Linked DNA regions of Lepisosteus oculatus. The protein of the gene in region 4 purifies or fractionates together with the protein of the main gene of each other region. This does not show direct contact. Links are inferred from orthologs where the notes say so. Each region holds a gene or a part of one and is shown on either strand. Other genes may lie near its edges. The genes, in order: dbt, myosin-10, plaa and hdac6.

Region 1 (8,063 bases), on a different chromosome or scaffold from region 4:
CATTTACATTACTGATCACAGCGCCATCTGGTGACTGTTTATATTATGGCTTCATAATGCTTCCACTGTCAACTACATCTCTAGCTCTTAAGGGAATGCTCCCTTATGAAGATTTTATACATATATATGAAGATTTGCAAAGTCTTTATTTCAACAGAATAAAAACATTACTAACATTTCAAACTCAATATTCATAAGATTATGAAAGTGCAAGCCAAGGCTTCAGCCAAGGCCTCCTCTGTGAGTGAAAATTGGACACAATTGGCTTAAAGGGGAACTGCAACGCTAATTTTACATTTTGGGGTTATAATGAACCGCCAATAATGAGGGCATTTCAAACCACAATAAAACTACCAAGTGCATGGCAACAATATCCAATTTACATAAGAAAAGAGATGACGTTTTACTGTAAGGGAGCACTCCTAAACTACTGATGTGCTGTCTCTGGGTTACATGGTGTGGCCTAGGGGCTGGCTTTCACCACTAAGATAGAAACAGAACAATAGTTCTGTACAATACTAAACAATACTAAAACAGAAACAGAACAATAGTAAAAACAACAGTGCAAAGGTATACCTCTTGTGTGTGAGAACTGTTTTGGGGTTCTTTACTTTTCTTGTCGTGAAGTGTACTAATTTAAAAGAACATCCCTAGATATTAGAATAACCCACAATCACCGACCCCGGATCACTATGCTCCTGATTTAGAGGCAAGCAAGCTCCATTTGATGTCCTTGTACTGTTAATGTTTTAAGCACTGTGACTTAGTTATACAATGTTTTTTAACCTTGCCAGATCCCAAAATACAGGTAGGAGGTAGCTCCCTCATGATTCACAATGTACACCTGCTATGGATTCTGCACACATAAAAACATCTTCAAGAAGGGCCTTGAGTACAGTGGTTTTGGACAATTGTTGGTTTGGAAATTAACCCTACAACCTCACCAGGAGCCAGAGCTCAATCCCATTTAGGGGCACCTATCTGTGTGGTGTTTGTATGCTCTCATGCTCATTTGGGCTTTTGCCTAAGTGCAATGTGATTGGCTACTATATATAACCAGTTCAGGGGCAATTCAAGGAGTATTAACTCGGAAGCGACTTCCATGCCAGTGCTAACCAGGCCTAGGCTTTCTTAACTGCTAAGAGTTGATAAGATATAAACTGGGATTAATCTTTGAGGCAGGCCCCTTGAAGCATCTATCTTTTCTTACTAGTATACACCAAGCCAGGGGAGTGGAAATATCAACATGAATGCCCACATACAAGCCAACTGTTAATATCTAGATGATAAGGAACAAGTCATAGGTTTATTCCATGCTGAAAAAAAGAAGAAAGAAAACACAACGTTTCGGCCGAGGAGCCTTCATCAGGTGTCACATGGCCAAACTTGTTCCTTTGCAGCCTACGCATGCTGACGTAGCTACCCACCTGAATATCTAGATGATGCCAATGTTAAAATATTAAAAACACTGCCTGGCACAAACCATTCAACTCAACTAATGCTGATTTTACATGCCTCACAAACTCTCCGACGCTCATTTAAGAAGCATCTAATTAGTGCAGCATTCAATAATTCTGAGACAGTCACAGATGTAACGTCACCCCCAAAAAAATTAGATGGTGTACAACTGTGCCACAGCAGAGGAGCCAAAACAGCAGCACTCATCACACCAACACAAGACCCACAACATTCAGGTTAAAAGGGCTCAAAAATTGCTGTGTATAAGATAAGTGAAATTAATAAACACACGATTTCCAACAGATAATTGCTTAATACAGGTAATTACATGAATAACTGTTGCTGCTTAAATCAGGAAAGAAAAAATGCTATTTAGAGGCTGCTGCAAACAGTTGCAAGACAAAGAAAGATCCACCTACCATTCCTTGACGGTGACCTCTGTAATACCTTCTCCTATATCTGACAGCTTAAACTGTACAATTGGTCCAGAAACAACTGCACAAGGGGAAGATAAGAGAATGAAATCTCTCAATAAAACACATATTAATATGAAAAAAAATGTACAAGAAGACTAAATTTAACGCCTATATAAACAACAGCAAATTTAAACGGTACTTACCACTGCAGGTTCTGAAGTACCGGTGCTGCGTGCTGACAGCGACCGAGAGGTGAGGCAACTTGTATTTGTACTCTGGTCTAACAGACTGAAATTTTGAACAGCAAGATCTGTACTGGTGTGCACACCGCTGGAAAACAAACATTAGAATTATACATGCAAACATTTAAGACATTTGTATTGTGGTCTGAAACCAGTGGGTGCACCAGTAAGTTATCAGCTGAAGAACTGGTCATACTTCTTCATACTTCTGGGCAGTGCCCAGCGTGACCGCCAAGGACATTTATAGATAGATACTTTATTGATCCCGTGAGGGAAATTGCAGAATTATAACTGGGCCTTTGGCATTTTACGTCCAATAACAGCTCAACAGCAATTCAAATTTTAAAATCGGACCACGGGACTAGTCAAGGGTACCAAAATCAAAGTAATTTCCGTGTTCGGTATTATCATGCACACGTAAACCGGGAGAAACCTTATTACAGGAGACAGTCAATGTTTTAGTTTTTTTGTCGAAAAAAGTTGTTTGAAAACACTTAAGGATGATATAACCTCCTTTACTGGATACCTGGTAAGTGTTGAAAACATTTTTTTCAACGAGTCTTACGAGACATGTCTTTACGTGTTCAAGAAACATTAATGAGATTTGTGCTTTTTGATACTGAAAAAGCAGATAAGGGAGCACAGCTGAGATATCTCCGCTGCAATTGGTTCTGTCCAGCTTAGGTGACTGAGCGCTACTCCAGCATTATTAACCAGTATGCAACTGCTGATAGAGACTCGGCTTGTCTGCCTAAGAAAGAAACAGACACGCAACCTGCCCACTATTAAAAATGGCTAAAGTCGAATGCAACCTTACCAAGTTTCTCATAAACCTGAATGAGGCTCTCATCGTTGTCACCGCCGCCATTTTTACCCCCAAACCCGAGGCTCTCTCGGAACTGACGACTAGTATCACGCCCCTCTGCAAGGGCCAACCAAAAAGCACGTTTCAGGGGCCGGGGCTTGCGACGGCACTCGATTGAAGTAGGAGGGTGGTCATGTTGGTGAAGGAAACCCTTGAAAATACACTACATCGTTTTAGAACAAGATGTTTCAATGACTCAGTGACTCACGTGGTACCATTTTATATACTGTTCTCATGTCAAGTAAGATTACATAAATTATTGTTGAGGATTATTGATTTACATGCTCTCAATGAGTAGAGATGCCATTTTTGAAACACTCAGGAATGTAAAACTACCACCGCCTGTATGTTACAAATTCAGATAAGATTATCACTGTCATTATATAAAGTTACCTTAAAATCACATCTGTCCTGGATTTCATCTTGTAAATTTGCATTATATTATAATTCATATCTGAATTTGGTGGGCTATACCTTCCCCTAACACTTTGCCCTTGAAATTATATTTTAAAAGTAAATACTGAGAGGACACTGCTGTTGTACTGTTGAGGAAGGTACTTTACTTAGATTGCTTCACTAAAAATCCCAGCTGTATACATTTTGTGTCAAATCCAAATAAAATGTAATTAAATTAACATATTTACACATCATCCTCATGATAATGCCTTCTATAGTTATATAGAGGGTATTGCAGCCACTCCATATATCAAAACTATATCAAAACCCACAAGAACTAATTTAGATTTTTGCATGAAATATCGGCCACCCCACCAGAAACAAATACTATTGCTCTGGAAAAATTTAAAAGGAATAGTATCTAGGCTAATTCATTTTCCCAAAGACATGTTATATTGAGACAATAAAGGAACTGAGCCTTTTTAGTCTTGAAAAGGAAAACTGCAGTGAGACTTTATATACTGTAAATATCAATCCTGAAAGATATTGACAAAATCAACTCAGAGAAGTGTCTTCTCATTTTTAAGCTCTCTTATGTTTATATTTCTAGTTTTGATATATTAAAGTACTAATTGAGGATTGTTATTAACTCTAGTGGTAGATCATAAAAATCTAAAAAAAAGGTTTTTTAGAGGACCTCTATGAAAAGCTTTTAATTTCTATTGTAGCTTCTGATTTTTCTGAATATAAATGTTGTATTTCTACAAGTTCTGAAATTTGATTTAAACTTCCAGAAGTTGTCAATAAAATCTATTCTTATTTCAATATGAACATAGACTTTGATAGCAGTGTTACCGCCTTCTACCCTGATCTGCCCAACCCTCAGAAGTTAAGACAGACTGGGACTGGTCAGTACAAGGAAGGCGGGCCTCTATTGAATACCAGTCTGCTGCTGTAAATAGTGTTAGTGGCCCAGTAGGTTGTGCTACTTCCTCTGGGACCAGAACATCCAAAGGTTTATTACATTGATTTATTAAATTACTTCATTAATTCCACTTCAGGTTAAACATGAAATGAAGGTTTCTTACAATATCCTCATAATACCAGTGACCAGTATGTTTACCAGAGACACTGTCAGATAACATGTTAAACAGGCATCCTGACCTTTAATTAAAGATTCCAAGGCACTGTTGGAAAGCGCAAGGTTGTGACCTGGTGTCCTCTCTAAATTACATTCTGGCCTTGAACTAATTTGGCCTGCCCAAAATTCCTCTTTAATGCAACCATTGATGCAATTTCTTTCTCTCTCTACCTCTACTCTACTCTCTCTCTACTCTGCAGTGAGGCAGCTGTGTCACCCAGTGGGTCTGTCTGGGGAGTGAAGTGGGTCCCCTCCTGTGTGTGGAGCACTTTGAGATCCTGTGGAATGAAGAGCACTATATATTCTACACATAATACTATCTTATTATACTTAGTTATAAGTATAAGTTTAAGTATATAAGTATAAGTTTAAATGATAAAAAGGGGGTAGCAATATTGTTTCTTTTGTTATTTTAGTTAGTTAAAAGAAATTAGTATTAATTTCCTGTTACAGCTATTTATGAATAATATTGTATACTGTGAATGGGTTTGGGTATGAACTAGGTGAACAATTTAATTCCTCTAGGTGGAGCAGTAGGTCTGCAGGCTTGCCCTTATAAAAATACATGATCGTTCCATTGCTCTGATAGAAGTGTAGTTCTAATCTCGGTGAAGTCAGATTTAAGATGTGTCCAACCAATTAAATTACTTCAGGAGAGTATTAATACGATAATTAAATCTTAATTAATTTGTGGAGCTAGTGTGTTCTCCTTGTGTATTTGGTAGTAGCTCATTTCTCCATGGATCTCATCCAACCATTTCTTGAAAGACACCAAGGTATCAGCTTCAACAACATGGATGGGTATCTTGGTCCAAACTGTCACACCCCTTGGGTTAAAGATGTGCCTCCCCTTCTTGGTTATAAACTTTCATTTGACTTCCACTTCTAACCCCAGGTTTGAAGAAATTCAAATGCTTGACACTCAGTGCCTTTGAGGATTGTGCTATATACTCAATTCTTGTATTAGGTCTCCTCATAGTCTTTTCTGTTGAGCCTTTGAGCCTGTCAGGAGAGGACATCCCCTTCAGCCCCAGAATGTTTCTGTTTGCTCTTCTCTTTGCTCTTCCAGCGCTGTGGAAAAAAGCAATAATCGTGCCTATGCCCAAAAAGCCCTGTCCCTCAGATAACAATGACCACAGGCCGGTAACACTGATGTCTGTTGTGATGAAATGCTTTGAGAGGTTTATAGTATCCATGCTGTGCTCAGAAGTGAACACTGTACTGGACCAATATCAGTTTGCATATAAACACCGGCGGGGCACCAATGATGCAATCAACAATTATGCATCTTGTTCTAAAACACCTAGAGGACCCCAATGCCTATGCTCGGATGCTGTTTGTGGACTTCAGCTCTGCATTTAAAATGCTGCAGCTCCATCTATTGATAAGTAAGTTGAAGCAAATGTCCGTTAACAAATCGCAGACAGTATGTCAGGGTCAACAAAACTCTTTCTGAGTCACGATCTATTAGCACAGGTGCCCCTGAGGGCTGTGTTAGCTCTCTAGTTCTTTTCACGCTTTATACAAATGATTGTAGTCAAAACAACTTCATTTTCAAATTCTCAGATGATACAGCTGTTCTTGGCTTAATGCATAGAGGTAGCAGCTCACCTGTATACATGTCAGAAATCCAAAGATTTGTGCAATGGTGTGACAACAATAGCTTAATTTTGAATGCTAAAAAAACAAAAGAAATAGTTTTCGATCCCAGAACAGTTGGTGATCACTCACAGGTAGTAATCCACAACGAACTTAAAGTATCACTCAGGTTGATTCATACAAGTACTTAGGTGTACACATAGACCGTAACCTGTGCTGGTCTACTCATGTTGAGAGTGTTTGCTCCAAAGTTCAGCAGCGCTTATATTTCCTGCGAAGACTAAGAGTGTTTGGGGTTCGACAGGAAGTAATGCTACTCCTTTACCATGCTGTAATCAAGTGCATTATCAGATATGGTATTTCAGTGTGGTTTGGTAATCTATCAGTTCATTTTAAATCGCAAATTACCCACCTCATCCAGACAGCTTTGAAGGTCATGGGGGTGAAACAGCACCCCTCCCTGCAGACAATCTTTGAAAAATACATAATCAAACAGGCAGGAAAATTTTTATCAGATCATTTCCCACATCCTCAACTCTGAATATCAACTTCTTCTTTCTGGCAAATGTTTTAGGGTTCCCAAATGTACAGTGTTTAGTAGTCCTCCTAATTTGGTATAATCTGCAAATGTATGACTAAATATGCAGCAATACTGTAGAAATACTTCCTGAGTATGACCCCTGTCTTGAGTGTTTTGTCAATGGTTTCTGAATAACATCTCCTGTTACCTTGATTACAGTTGGTACATTTTAGTTCAAGTAGGCAGCTGCGGAACAAGTAAAGGTTTATTCCATGCTGAAAAGAGAAGAAAAGAAACACAATGTTTTGGGGGTGGAGCCTTCTTCGGGTGTGTCAGAAAGGGTTATCTGTTTGAAGGAGAAAATAATAGAAAGCATAAGTTTCCTCAAAAACTGTTGTAGAATTAGAAGACTATTAGAAGTCTTTGCGTGTTACTCTGGGTGGTGTCAGAATCAAAGAAAAAAAGTGTTACATTTCAGATGAAATCCTTTAGGAATGACATTATGTCGATGACATCTGTAAAGGAATAGGAGGTGGTTAGAAAGCCTGGTCTTGGAACAGATCGCTGCGAAGAGACGGAATGCTGGTTCGGTGAGAGAAGAGGACAAGTAGCCGAGGGAGGAGGAGAAGGAATGATGAAGAGATCTAGAAAAAGATTTAGCAGAAGTCATGGTGGGTTGCAACAGAAGTAGGCTGAAATAGCCTACCTCACCTGGAGCAGCGTAAAGACGTAAAACCGAGATCCTGACTCTCTGTGGTCATTAAAAATCCCAGGGCGTTTCTCGAAAAGAGTAGGGTGTAACCCCGGCATCCTGGCCAAATTTCCCATTGGCCTTTACCAATCATGGCCTCCTAATAACCCCCATCTATGAATTGGCTACATTACTCTGTTCTCCTTCCCACTGATAGCTGATGTGTGGAAAGCGTTCTGGCGCACTATGGCTGCCGTCGCATCATCCAGGTGGATGCTGCACATTGGTGGTGGTGGAGGAGAGTCCCCATTACCTGTAAAGCGCTTTGAGTGGAGTGTCCATAAAAGCGCTATATAAGTGTAAGCTATTATTATTATTATTATTATTATTATAAAAAGTTCAAGTAGGTAGCTGAGTCGGCATGTGTAGGCTGCAGAGGAACAATTAAAGGTTTATTCCATGCTGAAAAGAGAAGAAAAGACACAACGTTTCAGCTGTGGAGCCTTCTTCGGGTGGCTCCAAAGCCAAAACGTTATGTTTCTCGTTGGTATGTTTTGTTTCTCTGAGATAATATAGGAACAATATTTTTTTTTCTGGCATTTCTTTTAAACAATTTTATACGAATAAAAAAACTATACTAATTTTAAAGGAACAAGATGTAAATCAGGATTGTTCTTAATAAATTGGCAGGCCCAGTTTGAAAATACCACTATGAGTTTAAACATTTCTGTGTAA
Region 2 (7,678 bases), on a different chromosome or scaffold from region 4:
TAAATTCTTACTCTGGACCTGGAGTCCTGACGCGTGTCCAGAACTGGAAACCATGTAGTCTGGGAATACGTAAGAAAAATGAGAGAAGAAGAACTGAAATGCTGCTTTCATTCCTTGACTGTTTCTTATTTTTGTAACACATTAAATATATGTGTGTGTGTGTGTGTGTCGGGGGCTGAGCGTTCGGGTATTAGCATGTATTAGACTGTCGATTACTGTAGAGAAACAGAACTACAGAACCTTACAGGCCTTTACATTGTTGATCAATGGCACTGTAATATTTTGAAATACATGCCAGGATTTAATCAATTCTTGCCACAGTAAGGCAGAGAACGTAAACACATTTTAAAGCTTTTAAATATATGTATTTAAACTCACACTTTGGCTCCTTATAAAGAAAACTGCAATACAAATCAAAGATTTACAGTAGGTATTATCTACTTAAATGGCATAGGTGTCTAATGGTGTTTGTTTCTGTGCTCTGTAGTGTGAACAGTGATGTAAAATGTTGCTTTCGGGAAAAAAGCACGTTTCTGGCCCCAACACTGTTGCTATGAAACCCTGTCTTGTCAGGTCTAGGTTGAGTTTAAAAATATATTCAATGGAAAACAGCCAAAAGAAAGTGCCTAAGACAGCAATTTAAAATGTTTGTTCATAATGGCATGGATCACCAAAATTTAATTGTGAACATTCAAAATACAACTCTGCAACTTCTTTGAAGTGAAAATGTAATTAAATTTTCAATGCTTTGAAAAATCCAGTTCATTACATCACTGTTTTATTCTTGTTTTCTTTCTTCAATCAAGTTCAATTAAGACTTTAATTTAGTATTCACATCTGATTTCTTATTATGGACATTGCTTCCAAGGCTGTTAGAAAAGTGTCAGAAAAGAATCTGTCATGAAATTAATGTCAAAATACGTGCTTTAGCAGAAACTTTTTAATCCTTTTGCAATTTTTTTCAACAAAAATATATATTTTTTTTATTTGTACTATATTCTAGAAGTGATGTGGAAATTCTGTTACAATTCCAGGTAACACTTAAAGAGCTGAGACTGGGTTTGGTGAAGATTCCATATTTTGGTTTAGTTAAAATGATGTGAAGTCCCCATGACAAAGGATTGTTGAGATATACTGTAATATTGCCAGGTTGTAAAAACATTTTACAGAAGAGTGGTAAAAACAGATCTACAGTATGTACAATCTATGGGAAACTGTGACAGTTTAGCAAATGAAATAAATGCATGGTATATGTATAGTCAAATACTATAGACTACTAGAACTCTGAAAATAGAGTGCCTGATAAGTCTGGTTAACTTCTTCATGGGTTGGTTTGATTACTCTTACTTTGTGAGAATACTTCCAGTCACTGCTCAAATATTCCTTAATACTGGACAGATCATGGAAAGTGCCATTAAAACCTGCCTGACTCTTTGGCTTTGACTCTACTTAGACTCCATAGAAGTGTAAAATTAGGAATTCATTAAGTTGTCTTTTTCCTTGTAGTGCCAGTTCTGCACAGAACGAACAAAGTTCTGAGTTCATGTACCAGGAATACGTTCAGAACTTAATCCTTAGCTAACGCAATTTCTCTTGGAAAACTTGGTATGTGTTTATTATACACTGTGTACTTTATAGTTTTCTCCGAAGTGTGTGAAAAATGGGCGTTGAATGACCAAAATTTTAATATTTAGCTTCATTAATTTTTTTCTTGTTTGTTTCACTATATGTTTTTATACGTAGGATTTCAACAGCACATCATGAAAGAAGCTACAGTATGGGCTTCTTTTTCAATAACTGAATTGTTCATATTGTTACGCATTTTACCTAGCAATATATTTGAAAAATCATTTCCACATGAGAATGTCATGACAGTAAGATCATTAAATGTGCATCTTGAAGAATTATTCAATAAGTATCTTGAACTTATTTGAATGAATAATAAATAATAATAAACTTTATTTTATATAGTGCTTTAAAGGTGGCTTCTCAAAGTGCTCTACATTACACTAGTAAAAAATGCACATCATGAAAGGAGACAGCAGAATTACATAGTTGCAAGAAGGTTTTGTAATACAGTGGGAATACAAAGGGGCAGACACAGAACAAGATAAATAAAAGTCTGTCTTAAAGAAGAAGGTTTTGAACACTGGGGAAGGTGGCTCTGATATCCTAACAGATTGAATTCCAGAGCTTTAGGGAGCAGAAAGTGAAGGCCCTGTCACCCATAGAGTGCAGATGGGCTTGGGGGACAGATATGAGACCAGAATTAGATGAATGAAGGTTGTGAAATGAAGCATACCATGTACTACTCATTCAATACTGAAGCAGTACCTGCTGTTTCTGGAGCAAGTGGGTTTTACAATTGCACCGCATAATGAAACTCTCATGAACAAAAGCTGTTTACACTACTGTATGCGTTGTTGTTCTAAGGACGGGTTCACGCAGTGCTTAAATGTTGTGTTATAGGGAATGATTCTGGTTCGTTGAACTGTATTTTCAAATCTGTTAAATATTTTATATTAGACTGACCTCTGGTGGTTATAAAGGACACCAGAAAACCTGCAATGTAAAGGTGAGTGGAGCATGAATATACAGTACATACAGTATTTAAAGATTATTACACATTCAAACACAGTGCTTTTATAGAGAAAATAGTCACTTTAACTGCTTTTACTGTATGAGGAAGTGCTTCATGTTTTCTGCCTTCTTGTATTAAAAGCAGCCAAGCCGAAAGCTGAATACTGACATCAAAACGGAGATTTCACCACATATAACAGGAAGTACGTCTTTACACATGGGTTTGGAGCCTGGAAGAAGATACCCAGTTATGCAGTTGAAGCTGATAACCTGTCTGTTTTTAATTAAACAGATGGATGAGATTCTTGGATCAATTAGCTGCTAATAACCAAACTATAGTAAATGGGCTGAATGGCCTCTCGTTAGTAATGTTCGTTCTGTACTGTTATTAAAGACGTGAAGAAGCACTGTGAAACTATACAAGTGCCTTGTATATGAATACTTTTTAAAGCACAGTATTTAAATCTGCATTTAAATTGTCATTCTGCAGACAGAATGGCCGAAACACAGCACCAGTCTTCTGCTCATGGTCATAATCAGTATTTTCAATTTTCAGATCATTGAAATTTGGCAGGGGTCTCCAACCCCTGCACCCTTCACAAGAAACAGCTGGATGAGATCGGAGACCCAATCACCTCCCAGCAAGCAAACAAGAGAGGTCCAGATGTACCCAAAAGGTTCTCCTCCCATTTGTAGCCTGAGTCAGATCCTTTGCTTACTTGGTGTTTTTGTAAATTACTGCACTTTAGGAGGAGGGAGAACCATGCACTGGGGCTCAGTACCTGGACTTGTTCGTCAGTGGTGGATTTCTCGAACGCCTCTAAATGTGACGGACGTGCAGAGAGGAAGATTAAGGAGCCTCTGGCGCATGCTATCTTAAAGTCCCCCCCCCCCCCCATGTTGACATGGGATCACCAGCTTCACTGTTTCCGTGGTAACCAAGAAAGCAGTTCCGTTTTTCAATGTCCAAAGTGGAGCTCCGCGTTTAGGAGACGTGTGGACGCTCCGATCCGAATCAGGATCGCACGCGGCGGTAACTCGGGATATCCCGGGCCGCCCTTACCCGTGTCCAGCCAACACAGCAGCATAGTCAGTCTGTAGCTCCAGCTTAATCTTTAATCATCGAAGGTAATGTGGAGCCCCGGCGTTAACGCAGCAGTTAAGGAGCAGCTCAGCGCACAGCATATGGGAGAGTTCAAAGTCCAAAGACTGCAACAATGATAATGATATCTCGATGCTCGATACATGCATGTTAATTCAAGGCAAGTAACGGGCAGGGGGGCCTAGGGGAATAAGAGGGAAAGACCCAGGCGCTCCCGAAAGCTAGAGGGAGCCACATGCACGGCTTCCACGTCTACTGGCAAGTCAAACTAATGATGTCATCTCGCATTAAAACAGACAAAAGGCCGGAGTGGGGGACAAGGGGGGTAGAAGCCCTGGCAAACCCCCCCAAAATTAATAAATACACTTTAAAAAACAAAATAAACCAGGCATGGACTGCGGAACCCCCACAAACACAGCACAGCTAGTTCTACAAATCGCGTATCGAAAAACCCGATTGACACCGCCGATCCGCACAGCGCACCGCAACCCCTTTTCACGTGGTCTCTGCACAATGACCTGCCTGGCGCAACCTAGATATCGGGCCCTCTAAGGGGGGAGGGAAGGGCGGCTGAGCTTTGATGGACGTGATCTTGACCACTGGCTGCGGTTCTTCATGCACAGGCGAATCCGCGACACCTATGAGCTGCACGGCAGGTGGAAGACAGCCGCAGCACGAACTCTTCACCGGCGGTGAGGGGGCGGCAGGCGTTCTAGAGGGAGGAGGGGCGGCGGGGGTTGCCTCTTTTTTTTCTAGCCAATAGGCGCTCTTTACGTGAGGAACGTCTTGGAAGCCGTCCAATAGTGTTACACCTTTGGGCATGTAGGCGGGACTAAGAAAAGGGTTCGGTTGAGGAGTCCGGCTTCTGCGGGGAGGAGGGGGGAACGCTGGGTAGGACAGTATCTCTGGTGCAAAGAAAAGAGAGGAGAGAAAGGCGGAGAGGCAGGCGTATATACGGAGCGGTGCGGAATATAGATCACATTTGCCGAGGAGAACGCCTTATTCGTTTTAAAAGTTGAGCTTGGTTCTTGTCCGACTGCGTCAGGTAAGCTCAAAGGGGGATCTGCGTTATTCCGCGGTAGCTAACGGGATTACCGCGAAGGGATGGAGGTTAATTAGCGTGATCATACTGCATCTGCATTCATTTGCCACTTAAAAACTGATTTGAAGCGGGTTTTCATTGACGCATATTCCCCAAACCCATCGGAATGACAAGACCAGAGAACTATCCGACCCCTTTCCTCTCGAAAACGGATGAAACAACCGTCTGGGCTGCAATGCACAGTGTTGTAGGGGTGCGTTATCGCGGCTACATGGTCGTATTTGTCAAAGCTAAATTCAACTCGTGCGGTTGTATTGACGTGGTATAATCATGTCTTTCGCTGGTGTATTTTTTTTTTCTCCTTTTGGTGGACCGGGAGTGGCGCTCGGGCCAGCATGAAACGCCGAACAGTGGGAAATAATTTCCAAGTGTTGCAAGGGAATAATGTGCAAGATACGTTTCCACATCTTTATGTGGGTAGATAAGAGGAGGTCCCGCTTTTTTGAAAAAAAAAAAATTAAATGAAGAGGGGAGCGTGGTGGTGGGCATCCTAAAAAAAAAAGGGCAATCGCGCTTGAATAACGAGCTGAAATGAAGTGTTACATTGTGCCCGTTAGGATCCGCTGGCGGCTGGGCGGACCTGGAGCAGGAGAGACCACACCAGCGCCAGTCTCGCCACCAGTGCGCCAAACGGCTCATTCAAAGCCCTGGACCATATTTTTACTGTAGTTTATGACCCCTGGCGTTATGCTGGGACCGTGTAGCCACCGAGGTAAACGCGTAGGTTAATCTGGAGCAGCAGCAGCAGCAACAGCAACAATAACAACAACAACAAAACCCCCAAAACAACCGTTTTAGTCACCCGACTCGCCCAACTCTTTTTCTGTAACGCGAGGAAATATCGGGTGACCACGCTAGCACGACGCTAAAAGTCAATGCATGGGTGAAAGGGTTTGATTTCTTTCTTTCTTTCCGTCTCCTCGCACGTCTGCTGTGTCTGAGGCTCTGGTCACTGCAAGAGCTTGGACTTCAGTGGCCTAAGCGGCTGTCCCGGCCTTCGACCTGCCTTGTGCAGTGGACGGGTAGACGTAGCTTTAATGCAGGATTTTCTGATTTTACGCACAGGTTATGCTTTATCGTTTCACCTGAGCGAATTAAGAGCTCTTCCCGTCCGTTAGCAAAATTTGCTGCACCGAAACCTCAGTCTGAGCTGAAATAATGATTGCAATGCGTGCGATTCAAATGAAACCCGTGGAGTTTTTTGTGTGTGTGTGTGCGCGTTCATTCATGACAGATGGGTCAGTCAGTGTGTGTCTGGGAAATGTTTTAACCTGATGGAAACGACCAAGCTTTGGAAACCATAGACGTGTTACCGTCCTGCTTCTAGTCTGGTCTGCCAAGCTTAATTCTGGGTAAACCGGTTCGTCTCTGAACACTGGGACAGTTAACGGACTCATCCATGCGTGGTGTGACGTTTGGGTTAATGAGATGAAGGCTTTAGACATCCAGAGGCAGTTATACCAAGCGATCATGATCTGAACATTAAAGTTTATGACTTCAGCCTTCTTTCTACGCCACAAATGTCTGATTAAAAAATCATAGTTATACAAGTTAATTACATAAAGGAAACAAATCCTGTATATTCGTTTTTGAATGAGATGACGGTTCTAGAGAAATTATGGAGAAATTCTTTGTTGTTTCTGCCTACTTTTGGTCCAACCGTTCTGTAATATCACGTGAAGTTGTAAGATAAGGATAGAGCATTTGCCATTCTGTATGTCTTCACTGACTTGAAATATGCTTTGCCAATGCAGTTTATGATTTTTAGAAAGGAGGCAGAATTTAACATTTCAGAATTGTTTGAATGAATTCATTGAATATTAATTGCATGTAACAGGAAAAGGGAGTGGGTTACGGCCGATTAAATCCAAAAATCCCCTAGTGAGAGATCAGGCTCTAACTTTGGCCATATGAGTACTGTTACATGGTCAATGGATAGAGTTTCTATCTTTAATAAATGCTGTTTGTTAAGGGGATGAAGCATGGCCTCTGTTATTTTTCAGGAGCAGAGTTCCAGTTTGCTTTAGGCTCTGATCCCCGTCATTGGAAACCACCAAGTCGCTGAAATGTTTGTATAAAGTGTGAACAGGTGTTCGGCGACAGTAGGGCCAGAGCTGTGTAAACTCTGGCTGTAATTCATGAGGGACGTCAGCCCTAGACAAATAAGAGCTTTAATGCACCACCGTATATCCCTAAGTATGGTTTTCTTTACAGTATAGGTAAAGTCCTCAAAAATAAAAAAATCTGGGGTTGTCCGGGTTTTGAAGGCACAGTTTGTGTGGATCAGTTAGGTAAAGGCCAGAATGCCTTGTTATAGGGTTCAAAATCGGGTGGGCTTTGCAAAATGGAGCTGGAAATGTCCTCGGTTAGTTTGTGATGGACTCGTTTGACATTTTTGCTCTCTCCCACTTGAACGAGCTCTGTGTTAGCCTGGAAGGCGTCAGGACCGAAGACGGCGTGCTTTTAAATGTTTGTGCTCGGGGTCTGCGGTCTGTTTTATGTAAGGGGGCAGTGGGGTTAAGTAGCTGCCCTTGTTGTTGATAGCGGTGTCCGATTCGTGAGCCATTACGGATTTATCGGTTGTTTTTCCTTCTGCGTTCAAGGTATTGGCCGTGGTTTGACTTTCCCGGGATTCTGTCGGCTGCCGTGAAGGAGAGGGGAAAAGGATCCGTTAGCAGTGTCGAGTCTGTGACAGTCCAGGCATGTGCAGCCGGCGGTCAGATTACAGTCCCGGTGACAGTGAAACGAAACAGACTTCCGCTTTTCTCAGCATGTGGATGGAGGCCAGCCATCGATTAGAAGCTTTAATGGGGGGGGTGAAAGTCAGGATTGCTTAACTTCGGAACAAAAATGTGCTTACGGCATGGATACTGGGATTTCTGTCCTCTCTCCAA
Region 3 (7,954 bases), on a different chromosome or scaffold from region 4:
GGTGAATCTGACATTCATTTAGTGTTCTTTAACAATCAGTTAGCTTCTTGTTACAAAAAAAGGGATGTGTGGTGACTAAAGACGATATCGTTGCACTTTACGAACCCAAATAATTTGGAAAATGAAAGGTTTCTGGGACTGTAAAATAATATTTCTTATGTACATTGGTTGCTCAGTTTATGCCTGATTCACTAAATCATAACTTTAAAATTCTAAGTTTCAGAATTTCTCGAATTCGAGCGGCCTGTGTTGCCTAACCAACTGGACTTCTGCAGAAAGAAAAAAAGCTCAGTGTGGGAGCATCTGAAGAGTTCTTCATTCACAGCTATGCTTCCTCATTATGAACTGAAGAGCTATTAAGACCTATTGAAGACGAACGGCTTACAGCTGTGCTTAGTTCTGTAGTTAAAACTACAGAATGACAGCACGAACAATTTCATCACTCTAATAATGATCAATCAATATAAATTATTCAATGTAATGTAATCACTCTGACTAATAAGCAGATCAATTAAAGCCATCAAATATTTTATAAGTATTCAAACTATTTCTGTTCTTACCTCGATTTCATTTTGTCTACTACGAGATACAGTATAAGTAAGCGATCTGTATATACTGTATTTCCAAAGCATCATAATATGACGGACACAAACTCCAAAACCACTTTGTTATCATCATCTTAACTATCTGCAATGTTATGCTGCATTGTAATAACTGTACTAGTTTTGAATAAGATCGAGTTAAAGATAAATACAGCACGGTATATGTGTTACCACAGAATTATTAAACTGGGAACCCAACACTTCAAGCCACATCTGACCTCTGAGCGATCTATACTGTCTTGTTGAATAACAGAAGTAAAAAGGCGCCGTGAGCACGATTCGGGCTGCCATAACCGATGATCCCATGTTGCCAGTAACGAATATATATAACGATAAAAAATATTATATAGTATTTTAAATATATGAATATAATATCTTTGCTCATTCTTAATAATAACCGATGTTATTATAATAACAGCCCAGTTGCTATTTGTTTCGGGTTTACGTTGGCAACTACTGTTGCGACCGTACCTACAAGTATTACTTAATTTCCTCAAGCAGTTTTCGCTGATTAATTAGCTAAATCAAACAATATTTAACCTTTCGTGTTTGCCTTTTAACCATTTACGCAAATATCAACGTGAAGATTTTCTTTTTAATCTATATTTCGAAATAATCGACAAATATCTTCCAAGAACTCGCATTATGATATTACAAAATCATATTCAATTACTAAGCTACCCCCTAACAGCGTTGCAGCGTTTGTATATTTATGGCTGGACTTCACCTAACATTTCATTTTTTTGTAAGGGAATCAAATATATTCTACCAACCTTCATTTTTATGATCAGATTTTTAATACAGTAATTCGATTTTTGAAACATCAGTATACCTCCACTTACTTTGAACTCTGCTTCCCGACAGGAATCTGAGGTGCTCTTCCGTGTTTGGTTACACGACCACCCTTTCAACGGCAACGTGCTGAGGACAAAACACACATACATTGGAGGCTGTCCAATTGCGTGGAAGTTGCTCAATATATTCAGTGGCTCCAAGTTAAAAGGATTGGCTGAAAATCAGGTTTTTCCTTCTGTCAAACGCTAAATAGATCGTGATTTCTGATACAGATACCCAGCTGAATTCTTTACACGTTAGAAAAACCAGTTTCACTTCTCTTTTACCTTTCAAAATCCATGGTGTACTGTATTTGTTCGCCTTTTGTGAGTACTTGTATTTTGATACTTCTGAAAAGATTTATTCAGATTTCCCTCAAGAATTAGGGAAGTTATTCATAGCGTTCTGCACGCACACAATGTAATCTAAATTCACGAAGCCACCTTCAATCTTTAAGAAATTGTCTCATTAAGCAGGCTCCTGTCCCCAGTTTTTCATTTAAAAAAAGACGATGTATACATTTTGCAGATAGATTTCCTCAGCTGCTAACGTGAAACTACTAATCTTTGTTATGGATTGTACATTCACCTCTCAGTCAGTAACCAACACAGGAGTCAGGTAATCTGCATGGTTATCATTTGTCGGTTATTTTAAATATGAAACCAATGAGGTTGTAGATGAGGAGTGTATAGTTAAAACATTAAAAGGTTACAAACAAGAGGATGCCATTTGGCAGATCAAGGCCATTAGTAGGTAATTGATCTGAGAATTTAATGCAAACATTTTTCAACAACATGGCTGGGTAGCTTGTTCCAGACTCCATGATTGTGTATAGTACGTAAGATGTACTATATACTGTATTTTCTAACCTCTTCTTCCAATATCAGACAGGATGGACGAGACACCAGTCCATTGCAATGGATACACAGACACACACTGACACCAGGGCCAACGTTCTCAGAAACCAATTAACTTACCAGTCATAATGCTACCAGTAGTGTTTTTGGACTGTGGGAAGAAACTGGAGCACCCAGAGAAAACCTATGCAAGCATACAGAGAGATGCCACGCAGATAGCATCCAAGAAACTGAACCCAGGACCCCAGAACTGCAAAGCAGCAATGCTTATCAATGTGCCACCTCCATTTTATACATGTTTTGGAAAAATACAATTCTATATATTTTTCTCCCACCCATTGGTGAACTATCCTTCTCAGTTAGCTTTAACCAGACTTACTCCTTCCTCTTCCCCACCCTATTTGAAGGGAAGGGAAGTTTGCCCTCTTCCTCTTTACGGTCGTATTCATCTCGCATATGAGCCTCTGTCTCTCTCCTACTCTAAGCACCTCACCTTCTCTGTAACTAGCATGCCCATGTTCTACTTAAGAGCAATAAACCAGAGAGAGCCTGCAGGGAAAAGGTAGAATCGCTGTAATGTATAAAAATGTTTGTGTTCATTTGATTAATTTATCATTCATTGCTCATTACCTATTATATACTCAAGTGACTGTTGTGTATGAAATAGATAAGCTCACGAATGAGGCATGACGTGATTTAACCTGTCCAATGTCAAGCCTGTTGAAAAAAAAAGAAAGGAAAATACAGGAATGAATCAAAATACACCATTATAGTATTGAGAGAACAACACCTTTGCGCCACCTATATTTCGGAGGCCACCCAATGATGCCCACCTCTGCTGAACTTGCCAGTTGTGGAGCCAAGTTCTCTTTAGCAATGGATGAAGGTTTCCTCCCTTCTTATCCTGTTATAGATGAAATATTTAATTTTTGAAAAGACTGACCATCCTAAAGAACAACCGTCAGTGTGATGCAGACATGCAGAACACAATGGTTGTGCACAATGGACTACTCAATGGGGTCCGAGTGTGATGGTCTGGGCAGGGCAGTCTAGTTACTACTAAACTCCACTTGTAATCATGGATGGCACCCTTACTTCATAGAGCTACTTTGATCAAGATCTGGGATCTCATTTCCTACGAGTGTATCCTGATGTGACATCATCCCATCAGTATGTCCTCATGCTGCTTATGTAACAGCTTTTCTCGTGAGATGAGATATGCGAGAGGTATGCTGTGGTGCCCTTCAAGGCAAATGTGAGCGCTTATGAACAGTTGTGGCCTGTGTTGGCAAGACATTGGTATGACATGAGGTATCTGGGTTCAGAGACCAGTGAACTGGCACATGCTTCTTTGGGCTTTATGAAAGGAACGGGACAGAATTTTACAATAAAGCATTACCTTGTTTATGACAAATGTTAATCAGAATCACAAATTGCCCATGAATGGTCTGCTCAATCAAATGTTACAAATGTTCATTGCACAAGGTGACAACTTTATTTCAGTGTTGTTAAACATCACTCACAGTAGGCTAGGCTGATGAGGAATGATAGCCTAGGCTCATAAATGTTTATTCTTCATTTTCTCTTTTTGAAGTGGATTTCTCCCCGGATGGAGACATGGAGTGCAAATTCAAACAAAAATAAGATAAAGTATTTGATTATTGGCATGCCGTCAATAAGGCCAACCATAGTTCATAATTCAAGGTATAATCCATTTTCTTATTTTATAACACCAACCTAGTATCCTCATCAGCCTAGCCTACTGTGAGCGATGTTTAACAACAGTGAAATAAAGTTGTCACCTTGTGCAATGAACATTTGTAACATTTGATTGAGCAGACCATTCATGGGCAATTTGTGATTCTGATTAACATTTGTCATAATAACAATATTGTTATTGTCATCCTGTAAAGCGCTTTGAGAAGCCACCTTTAAAGGCGCTATATAAAATAAAGTTTATTATTATTATTAATAGTACAATATAGCTTTTGCTTTGATCTTTCCACCGGGAATTTAAGTTTGACTAGTTTCACTAACAAGTGCCATGTAAGTTTGGTTAATGCATCAGGAAGAACTTTGGTGCTTAGCACGCAGTCTTATGTCGCTAATATGCGAATACAGTCCATGTAGTTTGTTAATTGTTTTGTGAAGTGAACAAATTCAATAATACAGTATTCTATATTTAAAGCGAATCGCGTTCTAAATCAGTGTAATCCACATTCAGCCTCTATGCATGGTATTTCTTTAAACCGGTGCATCAATCACACCCCATGTGTAAACCGCAAACTTTCGAAAGTCTTCGTTTTTAAAGTAATTTGTCGTGTCAACCGAATTCCGTATTTTTTATATACCCTCCCAATATGGCCGAACCCGTTTCACCGGTTTCAAAGTCCTTTCTGATTTTTTCGAAACACGCCATTTTTATTCTATTAGCAATCATACGTAATTTAATCTCAATGTACATGTCACTTCAAAATTGCGTGCGTTACATAAAACTATCATTTCGATTCAGTTATTTGTCCCGTCATGCATTGTACCGTGAGCGTCACTTCCTTTTCCAGCCGCACAGGGCTGTCAAGGTGCTGTGTCAGTTCCTTATTTGGTACAGACTAATAATACTTATTTAAAAACGTTTTCTCTTGTTCTTTCGTGTTTATTACTATGGCATCCCCCAGCACTTACCGGCTTAGTTGCTCCATCCCGGGACATGAAATGGATGTCAGGGGGTTGGCAGCAACTCTCTTCCCGGACGGAGCCTTTGTCTCGGTATCTCGAGACAGAACTGCCAGACTATGGATCCCAAACACAAGGTAAATTGCTCACTTTGTGCTGAAGTAATGTTTCTGCGTTTTAAAAGTTTTTTCAGACTGTTTATCTTTTGGTGTTTAATAATTCTAAAGTCTTATTTTCACTTTCGATATGAAGGTGTTCTTTAAGTTTTATGGTAAACGATAGATGACGATAATTTAAAAACAAAATGCTATTCTCGTAAGATTTTGAGTTCGTAAGCGATTGAAAACAATAGTGTCTTTAAACTTTCTACCGGTGAAGCTGAGCCATTTTTTATCTTTAACATTTCACTCTTCAGTCAGTACCTTAAACCATTACATGGATTGGTTTAATACTGAACATTATTTCATTAGATCACAAAGGTATACTTTGAGTGAATCATATCGTTGAGATGTTTGTAAATGGGGATCTCAATCATTTAGATGCTTTTCATTGATATTTCTCTGATTCTCTTAGTCGAGTAGTAACATCCGGTTGGCTGTATAGTCATCCTTTTAGTGTCAGGACCTTGTACAGCTGTTCTTCGGAGTAGTAAGAAGGAAGCTGTATTAGACAATTCCATGAAAACATCTCACAAGTCAAGAAAAGGCTCCTTACATGTCTTGTTTTAGTGAGCCTGAACAAGGGCTTTACAATTTTTAATGATGTTTAAAAGTTATAACCATTTATTCTTTTCATCGTGCTATTATTAAGCTCTTAAACTGTCTGTTTAGAAGCTACGTTGAGTAGTAATTGTAATTGCTTCTGTACATACATTTTTTCCAAAGGATCCCAAAGTGCTTCATATTCCACCACTGAACTGTAGTTTTTATTATGCACAGGCAGCCCTGATACATAACAGATCAGCTGGGGAAGCAAGAAATTAACTTCATCAATGAAAAACATTAGAGAGGCCAGGTTATGCAAGTCCATGTGGAATGTAGCCTGGACACTGGGGTTACAAACCCTACTCTTATGAACTGCCGTGAGATCTTAACTGAGTATTAAATCAGGACCTCAGTTTAATGCAAAGGATGGTGCCTTCTACATCTCAGTATCATTATACAGAGGTGTTGATTGGGAAATTCTGATCTAGTAGAAAGAGCATCATCTACATTTCCACCAACACCATTTACAACAGCATCTTGTTTTCTTTAGCGATCTCCCATTGCAGTGCTCAGCCTCTTAGATCTAAATAAGATCAGGATCAGGTGATAGTGCCACTGCAAGTTGTACTAACACAAGCTAGTTGCTTGATTTTAGAGTTGCTCAACGTGTTTAGTAGCCTCCATTTTCTTGGCAGGTTGTTGTATCTTGTGTTACAAAGTAATCAAGGAAACATGAAGCAAATCTTCAGTGATAAACATTAATCTTTGCTCGTACAAACTAAAATCTAAATCCCCTCCTGCAGGGACATTCATAAAGTCTTATGTCGAAGATTACATGACTGCTCATTTACTTAAACTGGAATCTTAACATTAAAGATGTTGATGATGTTCATTGTTTTCTTGTTCTTTGCTCTTAACTTAATGCTTTTATCATTTTTCTGTGTGTTTAGTCCAAACAGGGGTTTTACAGAAATGCACTGTATGAATGGTCACACCAATTTTGTGTCATGTGTGTGCATCATAGCTCCCAATGATGCCTACCCTCAGGGCCTAATAGCAACAGGGGGAAATGACCACAACATCTGTGTTTTTTCATTGGACAGACCCGACCCTCAGTACATTCTCAAGGGTCATAAAGGCACAGGTAGGTGGTTTCTGCTATTCCATTCATAGAAACGTATTGGAGAAAATGAGGTTTGCCCCTGTCCTGGAAACATAGAGCACAAGGCAGGGCTGACAGCACACAACTACTCTTCTCCTGGAGTGAATGTTAGTTCATTGCAGGGTCATGGTGAAAGAGGTGATATAGTATAGCAAATCAAGCCTCACTATTATTAGTTTAGATGATGCAGCTCCCAGAAAATATCCATGCAAACCCAGGGAGACCATGCACACTCCACACAAATGGTGCCCAAGCCTGTAACTCAACTCTGGGACCCAAGAGCATAGCCAGAGCACCAAGTCACTCTGTAGCCCTACTGATTTTGTGAAAAAGAGAAATCTTAAAAGCCTATAAAGATTACCTGAAGCATGGTTATTGCTAATGGAAACTTTTTTTTTGGATGTGCTATAAAATCAAAAAGATGTATTTAATTTGATGACTCCTTTAACTAGCACCCTGGAAACATATGTGTAAAATATTACAACTTCATTCTGTTTTAGTAGTGAAAGGAAAAACCATGTGTGAACACGGCTTTTGTCTTAATTTTATGAATTTGTATTTGTCTTTAGATGGTGTAAAAGTATATGGCTTTTCCTTTTGTAGACTTCTACTATATATTGGCTTCTTTGTCATTTGGGTTGGCTGCCAGTGTCGGTTAAATTTTATTATACATACTGTTTTTGTTTAGAACGTGAGAGACACAAAAGCACTGTGCTTCCACAGTTATTGACAAGACATTTGAATGCCATTACATTCTTGTAAGAAAATGAATGGTTCCTAGGGAAAACGTGACAACTTCTAGTCAGAAAATAAAGTTTATAATCCAAATCATGTCCATAATTGTTAACATCGTCTGCTCTAAATTGTTAAATTGGACATGAAATTGGACTCCACAGTCTGCTATGAAACCTACTCTTTTAAATAGATAAAACATGCCACCTGACAGGTGGAACTTGGTTTGTTTCTAGGTCTGATTGTTTCATTCTTCATTACATTGAACAGTGTAAGGTTTAAAAATATCTGCATCAAATTACCGTTGCTTTCAAAGGGCTCTTGTATTACATTTGCAGTTTAATTTGACAGCTGTTAAATTTTTTATTCACCTAAATAAGAAATAAAGCG
Region 4 (7,446 bases):
TTCGTCTAGAACACAAACCAGCAGGAGTGTGGGTCACCGGGGCAGGGACTGGGAACCACTGCCTCAGCCCCTGGGGCCCTTAGTTTACTGAGAAATACAAACAGAGGAGCTAGAGACGAGAGAAGATCATACAGCCTGTTTGGCTCCTTTGTTCAGAACTGATCTCATCCAGCCCATTCCTGAAAGCAACGAGAGTATCAGACCCAACAGCATGGGTTGGGCAGCTTGTTCCACACTCCCACCACCCTTTGTGAAAAGAAGTGCCTCCTGTTCTCAGCTTTGGATGCCCTTCCATGGAGTTTCCACTGGTGTGAACTCCTGGTGCGTGCCTCTCTGCTTATTCTGGAGAAAACCACTGGCTTTGACTCTGTCGGTGCCTCTGAGGATTGTGAATATTAGGTTCATGGTGCAAATCGACAAAGGCTGGGTTCCTTCAGCCTGTCAGTGCAGGACTTTCCCTTCAAGCCCTTGAATGTTTCTGGATTCTCTTCTCTGGACTGACTCCAGATACCTTTTCTACAACCTGGTGACCAGAATTGTCTGCGGTTATCTAAATGAAGTCTTCCTGGTGTGTTATACAATTCTAACATATATCTCTTGATTTAAATTCTAAAACAATGTGTTCTGATGTACTCTCTGTCCAACACAGCAGTGTTCTTATTCATTGCAGGGCTATCTCTAAGCACCTTCTTATTTTCTTATTAACTCTTTCTGCGAGAAAACGTTTTGAGACAGCCAGATGTTGTTGGGCAGTGAAAAAAAAACACCTTTAAAAATAAATCTACAAACGAAAAATAGACTGAAAAACAGAAATAAAAAATGATTTGCATAGTTCGGTTGACATGAGTCCCACACAGCACAGGGTCAGCGAGGGAGGGGACGAGGGCTGTGGGTTGTGATGGCTCTATTTCAGGCTTCTGCTTCAACCCCTGAAAACCGATGTGTCAAACAGAGAGAGAAACAGCTGGCCAGCTCCTCCACTGCCCCCACAAACACAGAAATGGCCTCCAGGCTCTGAGGACAGTCTCCCTGCTGGAGCACGGTGGACAAATTCACACTCTGAAGCAGGGGTCCCCAACCCAGGTCCTGCAGATCCCCAATCCAGTTATTCTTACTGGTCACCCGGATTCTCCTGTTATTTGAAGATGAGGAACATGTGTTTCAGCCACTGATCAACTAAGTGAGTGATGTTTGCATGAAGGGCACACTGTCCTTTGAAGGCTGATGGATGTCTTGATATTAATTCCAGATGAGCTCTAAGTTAATTAATTAATTGCTGAGAGCAAAGCACTGGAGCCCCTGTGCTGGTAGAGGCGTAGGGGAATTTGAGATCATTTGAGGTCATTTTGTGTCATTTCTGGAGTCTGGTGTGTATTGACCTAGAAAGCAGTAGTCTTTTAGCTATGCCAGGTGCAACTAGAATGAAAGCCCAAGGAGAGAGGATTGATAGCTTTCCAATGCATCCGGCATTCCCGCTGGACGCCTCTGTGACCGCACCTGCTGAGCTAAGGACCCCTATGCGTGCTTGTCAGCTCTCCGCTGCCTAGAGCTAGTCTCCCAGCTTCCAGACCCCTCTCTCAGACTGCTCCCTCCTCTTCACTTCAGAGTCACCCTCGAGCCAGTCCAGAAACTGCTGCCGGCCCGTAACGGATCCCAGTGCGCCCTCAGCAGATATCGTAGTGTCGCAGGCTGTCTTCCGGTTGTGCCCCAGTCTGGCCACAGTAAATGACATCACTAGTGCTCCGGACTAAGGTGCAGCATCTTCCAGGGTTTGGGTGCTCTTGGGGGTGAGAAGACAGTCCTGGGAAGAGTTGGTGGCAGTCACTGGAATCAAGCTGTGCATTGCTCATCTGAACATCACCAAGACACTCCAGAATGTGAGAAAGCAGCATGATGGGTCTGCACAGGAGGGAGTGAATATGAGGGACTGCAGTGAAGGAAATCGGGGTGCCCCAGTAAACTGGGGAGCTGTGGGGGGTGAGGGAATCCAGTCTGGCCTGCAATGGCATTGCCTGGTTGCCCACTGGAGCCCTGCTGCCTTCCTCTGTCTCTTCTCTCCCGCCATCTGTGCAGCTGGAGGCTGGAAAAAGAGGCCTGTTTCTCTCCAGCGCCCTGACAGCTGCTGACCACATGCTCTCCGGTTTGACGCCTTGGCTGGAGCCCCATTGTGCAACGCAGCAGGCTTCTGGTTTTCCGGACCTTCATGAAAAAAAGGCCACGCAGGCACGCTGAGGCACCGTTGTGTGTGCGCGTGGAGGGGGGCGGTGGTTTGGTTTATTCGTTTATCAGCACGGCAGACGGGTCGGGGTTTTTGAAAAAAAGAAATTCTGCCCTGCGGACAGGGTTATCTCGCGGGGCTCGGGAAGCGGCAGCGAATGAGGGCGAGAGATTAGCAACCACAGCCCCGGGCCCAGCGGACACACGGGCCCATCCGTTGGAGCCTGAATCCGTCTCTCCCTCTCCCGCTGTCTGTTACAGTTGCTGTGCGCTCATGGCCCCCGCTCCATCCCTTCCTACACCCCCTCCCCCAGCGGACGCAGTGACTCCGTCTCTCTCTCTCCTCCAGAGTGCTCTACACCCAGAGCCCCCGCCCCGCCGGGCTGGAAACAGCTGGGGGTCTTGTCTGGCCCCCGCTGCGCCAGGAGGAGGCCGCAGTGTGGTGTGGCTCTCGCCTCTCCTTGCAGAGAGCCAAAGAGGGGACAAGAGGGTCCAAGCCCATTAGACTCTGGGACAGGGGGGTATAATATGTCTAAAAGGGCCCAAAACAACTTAGCAGCTACTGTACAACCACCGCTGGAAAAAAAAAAGGTGTCATGTTTTTAGCTGGAAGTAGCTGGAATTCCATCAGGGAACTATTTGCAGGATTAATGGTGGCTGAAAATAAGCAAAGGGGATGTTGATGCGAAGCTGATGCATCAATGTCCCTGTGTGAGGGTCTTCTGGATGACCCCTGCAGGCCAGAGGTCAAGGTTCAAGGGTCAGGGTGGCCAAGTCTCTCTGCGGACAGAGTCGCTGGCTCTCGTGGGTTTTGTTCTGACTGGGCATAAGATGACTTTTAAAAGCATTCTGCTTCGATGTAGGATCTGGGCCAGGATTTTTCTGTCTGTGGGCAATATCCAGTTCAAATGCACGGACACGTCCAGGAGGGAGGGGAAGGGGAAGAATTAACAGTTCAAGAGCATGAAATGTTCTTGAAAGGAGGAAAATTTCCAAAGACCAATATGGTATTCAAGTTCTTAAATGTCTCCTCTAAACAAATAATAGAGAAGAAGAACACGAAAATGCAGAAGGGAGAAGGGCATATTTTCTTTTCCTCTATTTTTCCGAACAGACCTCTATTGCATCAGATATAGAGCTGTCTGGTACTTTTGTGTGCTTATAAGGGAACAAGGGCCTTTGTGTGGAGGGACTGTGGCCTGCCAGTCCAGTCCCCAAGCTCTAGTATGAGCTCATACCCACCCCCCCAGCTTCCTCACGCCCACTGCTGGCCTACCCGACCCCCCAGGCCTTATCACCACGCAGGGCCGGCTGCTCTCTGCTCTCCCTTCAAAGCCTGGCTATCTCTTCCATCGCAGTCCCGGCCTGTTCTCAGACTCCCTGCCTCTCATGGGCTGCTGTTGTGTAACAGTTACTGCTGGTAGGAGGCATTAGAGTTTGGGAGGGGGAGTGGGGGTGCTGCCCATCATCATGAGGTCTGCTCTGCCCTAACTTTGCACCAGGATGGGCTCTCCATTGCTCTATCCTGATGAAAAGCATGTTTATAGGCCCCTGCAGTGTAGAGGGACATTTCTGGCATTGTTACGATTAATACACAACAGACTGTAGCCACTAGATTGGTGATTAAGGCTTGTGGCGAATTCTGCTGCAGAGTTGCAGGATGTAGTTTGGGCGACATCTACCGACCGTTAGCGGAGCCAATTACAATTTGATTCGGACCTGTTTTTATTGGCTTGACGAAAAAAAATCCCGCCAAAAGCTTCACATTCGCAAAACTGAATGTGACAACACCCTATCGTTTATTTTGTAACAGTAATAAAAGCTGCCCCCCTTCCCAGTTATGTGACACCGTGATCCGCGTCTCCAAATACCGAGGAAAACGGTAGCATTGCGAAGGTGGGTGGTGTGACGTCATCAGCCTGCGCCCCGGTGGGTGTCTGTCTGAGGATGGAGAGCGGCTGAGCGCAGCGACTTTTGAATGAAGATTGAAGCATCTCGACAGTTCATCTGCGATTTGAAGAAAGCACACCTGTAAGCAATTCAAACTATAAAACAGTACACTGTTTCGGCTTTTCCGTAGGAGCGTAATAGAAAATGTCTCTCTTGGCGACAAATCGAGAACTAAAATGTGCAGTCAGTTCAGAAAAGGTCCACTTGAAGTAGCTTAATTAACTTCCCACTTAGCCGTTACAGTTTCTTTTCGAATACTGTTATTGATGATTGTCTTTATTTGGGTTACAACATGCACGTAAATATGTGGCTATTAGCCGCAATTTCAATCTATTTTTAATTATTTTAAAACTCGTGTGGCTTTGGCTACAGTAGTAAATGAGTACAGCAGTAACACCCCGGACTGGACTGTTTAAGATCGAGCGCTTTTGTGTTCCGCCTTACAGTAACGAATTTGAGAAGAATTCTACAGACATATTCAAGTTATTAATTCAGTAGGAAGAGTCACTTGTGCTGCCGTTGAGTGAACTTTATGTTCGGTTCTTTTGTAACGTGGCCAGACAGTGTAATTCAAACTCTGGGAATCTTTCAGAATGTTTATTTTCTGGTGGGAGCGTAATGTTGAAATAATAAATAAGTTTTTGTTTTTTAGCTAAACTCACAGACTGTCATGCAACTATAGGAAAGGAAATCCATGCTTTGCCTCAGAAACTAGAAACTACAAACTACAAACTGTTATACAACCCACGCAGAAATGACCCCCTATGAGTCATCAGTGTCAGTACGTGAGCTGCTGAATGAAAACCCTGTATAAATACTTTTAAATGCTCTGCAGTCTTTAACCAGTGCCTGAGGAAGTTTGTCCCAGCATGGATTCCATACCCAATCCCGAGGAGGCGGGGTCTCGTCGAGGCTCCTCCCACTCCCCCAAGTCACCAGGCTCCTCATCCAAGGTAGGTGGGCGTGGCACAGTCTGAGGAAGAGGTGTAACTCAGGGGAGCCCATCATTCTCTTAATAATTTCTCACACAGTGTTTATATAGCGCTTTTCTTGACACTTCACTCAAAGAGCTTTACAGGTAATGGGGATCCCTTCCACCCCCACCAGTGCGCCAGTCCACTCCCCACACAGCAGCTCTCAGAGGGGAGGAGAGCAGAGTGATGAAGCCAGTTCAGAGAGGGGGGTTATTAGAAGGCCATGATTGGTAAAGGCCAGGGGGAAATTTGGCCAGGACGCCAGGTTTACACCCGATCTCTTCAAGAAACGTCCTGGGATTTTTAATAACCAAAAAAACTCAGGACCTCGGCTTTACGTCTCATCCGAAGGACAGCGCCTTTTTACAGTATAGTGTTCCCGTCATGGATGGGGAGTTTTGTGCTTGATCATGTAACGGCTACTCTGCAGTTTCTCATTGTGGTGAGACAGGGCTGTGTAGAGTGCACAGTTACTAATTAATTCCGATGACAATTAGAATGTGAAGGTCAAACTGAGGGAGGTGGCTAGCAGGGGACTGTGTGGGGGCGTGTCTGTGTGAGCCCCTCTCATTGGCTCTCCCCTGTGCCCCTGCCCGACCCTGGCTGATGGATAGCTCTGCCCTTCCAGACGCTTGCTCATTAAACGCTCCGCTGCTGTAGAGGCACTCTGCCCCGAGACCTGGTGGCCGAGCCACGTCTGGCCCGGGAGGCAGGCCCAGGTAACTCCAGGACGGAGCTCTGCCGGAGAGGGAGTGTGTGAAGGCGGAGCAGGTGGAGAGGGCAGGGGGTGCACGAGGCCCAGGAATGAAGGCTGCACAAAGTACAGGTGGCTGAGAGCTTGACCCCTTTCCACGCAAAGCCCCTGAGAAAGATTTAAGGATTGAATGCTGTTTCTCGCTGACACAGGTGCCGGACTTGCCTTTTTCCCAGAATTTGGAAATGCTAGAGAATCTCCTGGTTTCTACCCTTGTAGAAATCGTTTCCTACAATCTCATAACGTATAGGTTTACAATAATGAATACAGTATCTTGTCAGATTGTGTTTGTCGCTTGGATCCAGTGACGTCTTTCTCCCCCCCAGGCTATCTGATACCTATGCCATGGTTTCATAGTTTCTGTAGGGGACACACGAGGGCTGGTGTTTGCGTTTAGAAAGAACAGTGTTCCGTGGGGATGCTCCACGGTTGAAAAAAGACGGCACAGTGGTCTAGTCATGTAAAAATAGCTTTCGGGCTTCTGCACGAGAAGGGCTCCAGTGCGCTTTCTCGCGTGCCGTGTGGTTGAAGCCGATACTGTGGGTTCTTTTAGAGAACAGCTGGATGAGATCCTGGGATCAATTAGTAACCGGACACAGTAACGCCGGCATTCCTCCTCATTTCTCTCCTTTGGTAAAGGCAAGTAATGCACCTAAAGTTGATGTGTTTATGTCATGTCAGTTACATTTTACGTTGTAATTACATTATATCAGGGCTCTTTGATGGGGTGAGGTTTCCACTTCGACCCCAGCGTACTTGAGCAGGAGATTCAGGCACTGAGAGCAGGAGCGGGTTTCTCTTGGACACAGAGAGGAGATCGTGGGGCAGACTGCTTGTCCGTATTGCTAATGTGGGACCGGACTTTGTGACCTCTCTGATCCTCTCCTGCAGTGGCAGCACTGCACTGAGGGTGGAGCTGAGGCCAGGTCCAGCCCTGCACCAGCTGCACCAGAGCACCAGTGCGTCACTGGGCACGGTGCCAGTCATAGCCCTCGGCGCTGTAGCTGTGTTAATTTTTAAATGTCATTTGGCTGTGGTGCACTAAGCCGGAGGGGCAGGGGCGTGTAGCTCAGGTGTGTGTCTGAGACGGAGCTGTTTAAAGACGCTGTGATCTGGCTCCACACTCCACACTCTGCTCTCGCCCTGTACCGCCTGCGGACCAGCGGAGATACCAGCCCTGCACTTCGGTCAGCCATCCAACTCTGTTCAGTCTTTTCTTTTTCTTTGCATTTTTTCAGCTTCATTTGACTTTTTTCCCCTTTCATTTTTCCTGCTTGTTTTTTTTATTTCGATACATTTAGTTCAGTGCTCATTCTGTTCATCTGTGTATCCATTTACCTGTCGGTCTATTAATCTTGTCTGGGTGCAATTACCTGTCGCTCTTTTAATTCTGTCTGGGTGCCAGCAGCCGATCTCGTGTGCGGAAGGCGTGAAACAGAAGATCGGAATAATAAAGAAGACTGCGCCGTGTCTGTCCGAGCTCAGTCACATTATGTGTCCTGTGGTTTGGTATTAATAAAATGTCAACGATTAATGGCTTGTGCAAGGGGT

What was found.
Region 1: the proteins of hdac6 (region 4) and dbt purify together in Homo sapiens (affinity purification with mass spectrometry; 3 studies listed by BioGRID and IntAct, with this or other methods). This does not show direct contact. The link is inferred for Lepisosteus oculatus from reciprocal best matches to the Homo sapiens genes HDAC6 and DBT.
Region 2: the proteins of hdac6 (region 4) and myosin-10 purify together in Homo sapiens (affinity purification with mass spectrometry; 3 studies listed by BioGRID, with this or other methods). This does not show direct contact. The link is inferred for Lepisosteus oculatus from reciprocal best matches to the Homo sapiens genes HDAC6 and MYH10.
Region 3: the proteins of hdac6 (region 4) and plaa purify together in Homo sapiens (affinity purification with mass spectrometry; 4 studies listed by BioGRID and IntAct, with this or other methods). This does not show direct contact. The link is inferred for Lepisosteus oculatus from reciprocal best matches to the Homo sapiens genes HDAC6 and PLAA.

What each region holds. Positions count from the first base shown.
Region 1 is NC_090704.1:19,332,177-19,340,239, forward strand, and holds the start of dbt (lipoamide acyltransferase component of branched-chain alpha-keto acid dehydrogenase complex, mitochondrial), read right to left. Parts: upstream 3,043-8,063; 5' UTR 2,985-3,042; coding exon 2,934-2,984; intron 2,205-2,933; coding exon 2,078-2,204; intron 1,954-2,077; coding exon 1,878-1,953; intron 1-1,877. UniProt on the Homo sapiens protein: The branched-chain alpha-keto dehydrogenase complex catalyzes the overall conversion of alpha-keto acids to acyl-CoA and CO(2).
Region 2 is NC_090704.1:43,882,143-43,889,820, reverse strand, and holds the start of myosin-10, read left to right. Parts: upstream 1-4,558; 5' UTR 4,559-4,727; intron 4,728-7,678. UniProt on the Homo sapiens protein: Cellular myosin that appears to play a role in cytokinesis, cell shape, and specialized functions such as secretion and capping. Involved with LARP6 in the stabilization of type I collagen mRNAs for CO1A1 and CO1A2.
Region 3 is NC_090696.1:33,098,644-33,106,597, forward strand, and holds the start of plaa (phospholipase A-2-activating protein), read left to right. Parts: upstream 1-4,841; 5' UTR 4,842-4,954; coding exon 4,955-5,103; intron 5,104-6,620; coding exon 6,621-6,814; intron 6,815-7,954. UniProt on the Homo sapiens protein: Plays a role in protein ubiquitination, sorting and degradation through its association with VCP. Involved in ubiquitin-mediated membrane proteins trafficking to late endosomes in an ESCRT-dependent manner, and hence plays a role in synaptic vesicle recycling.
Region 4 is NC_090697.1:75,338,348-75,345,793, reverse strand, and holds the start of hdac6 (histone deacetylase 6), read left to right. Parts: upstream 1-4,132; 5' UTR 4,133-4,248; intron 4,249-5,002; 5' UTR 5,003-5,036; coding exon 5,037-5,120; intron 5,121-7,446.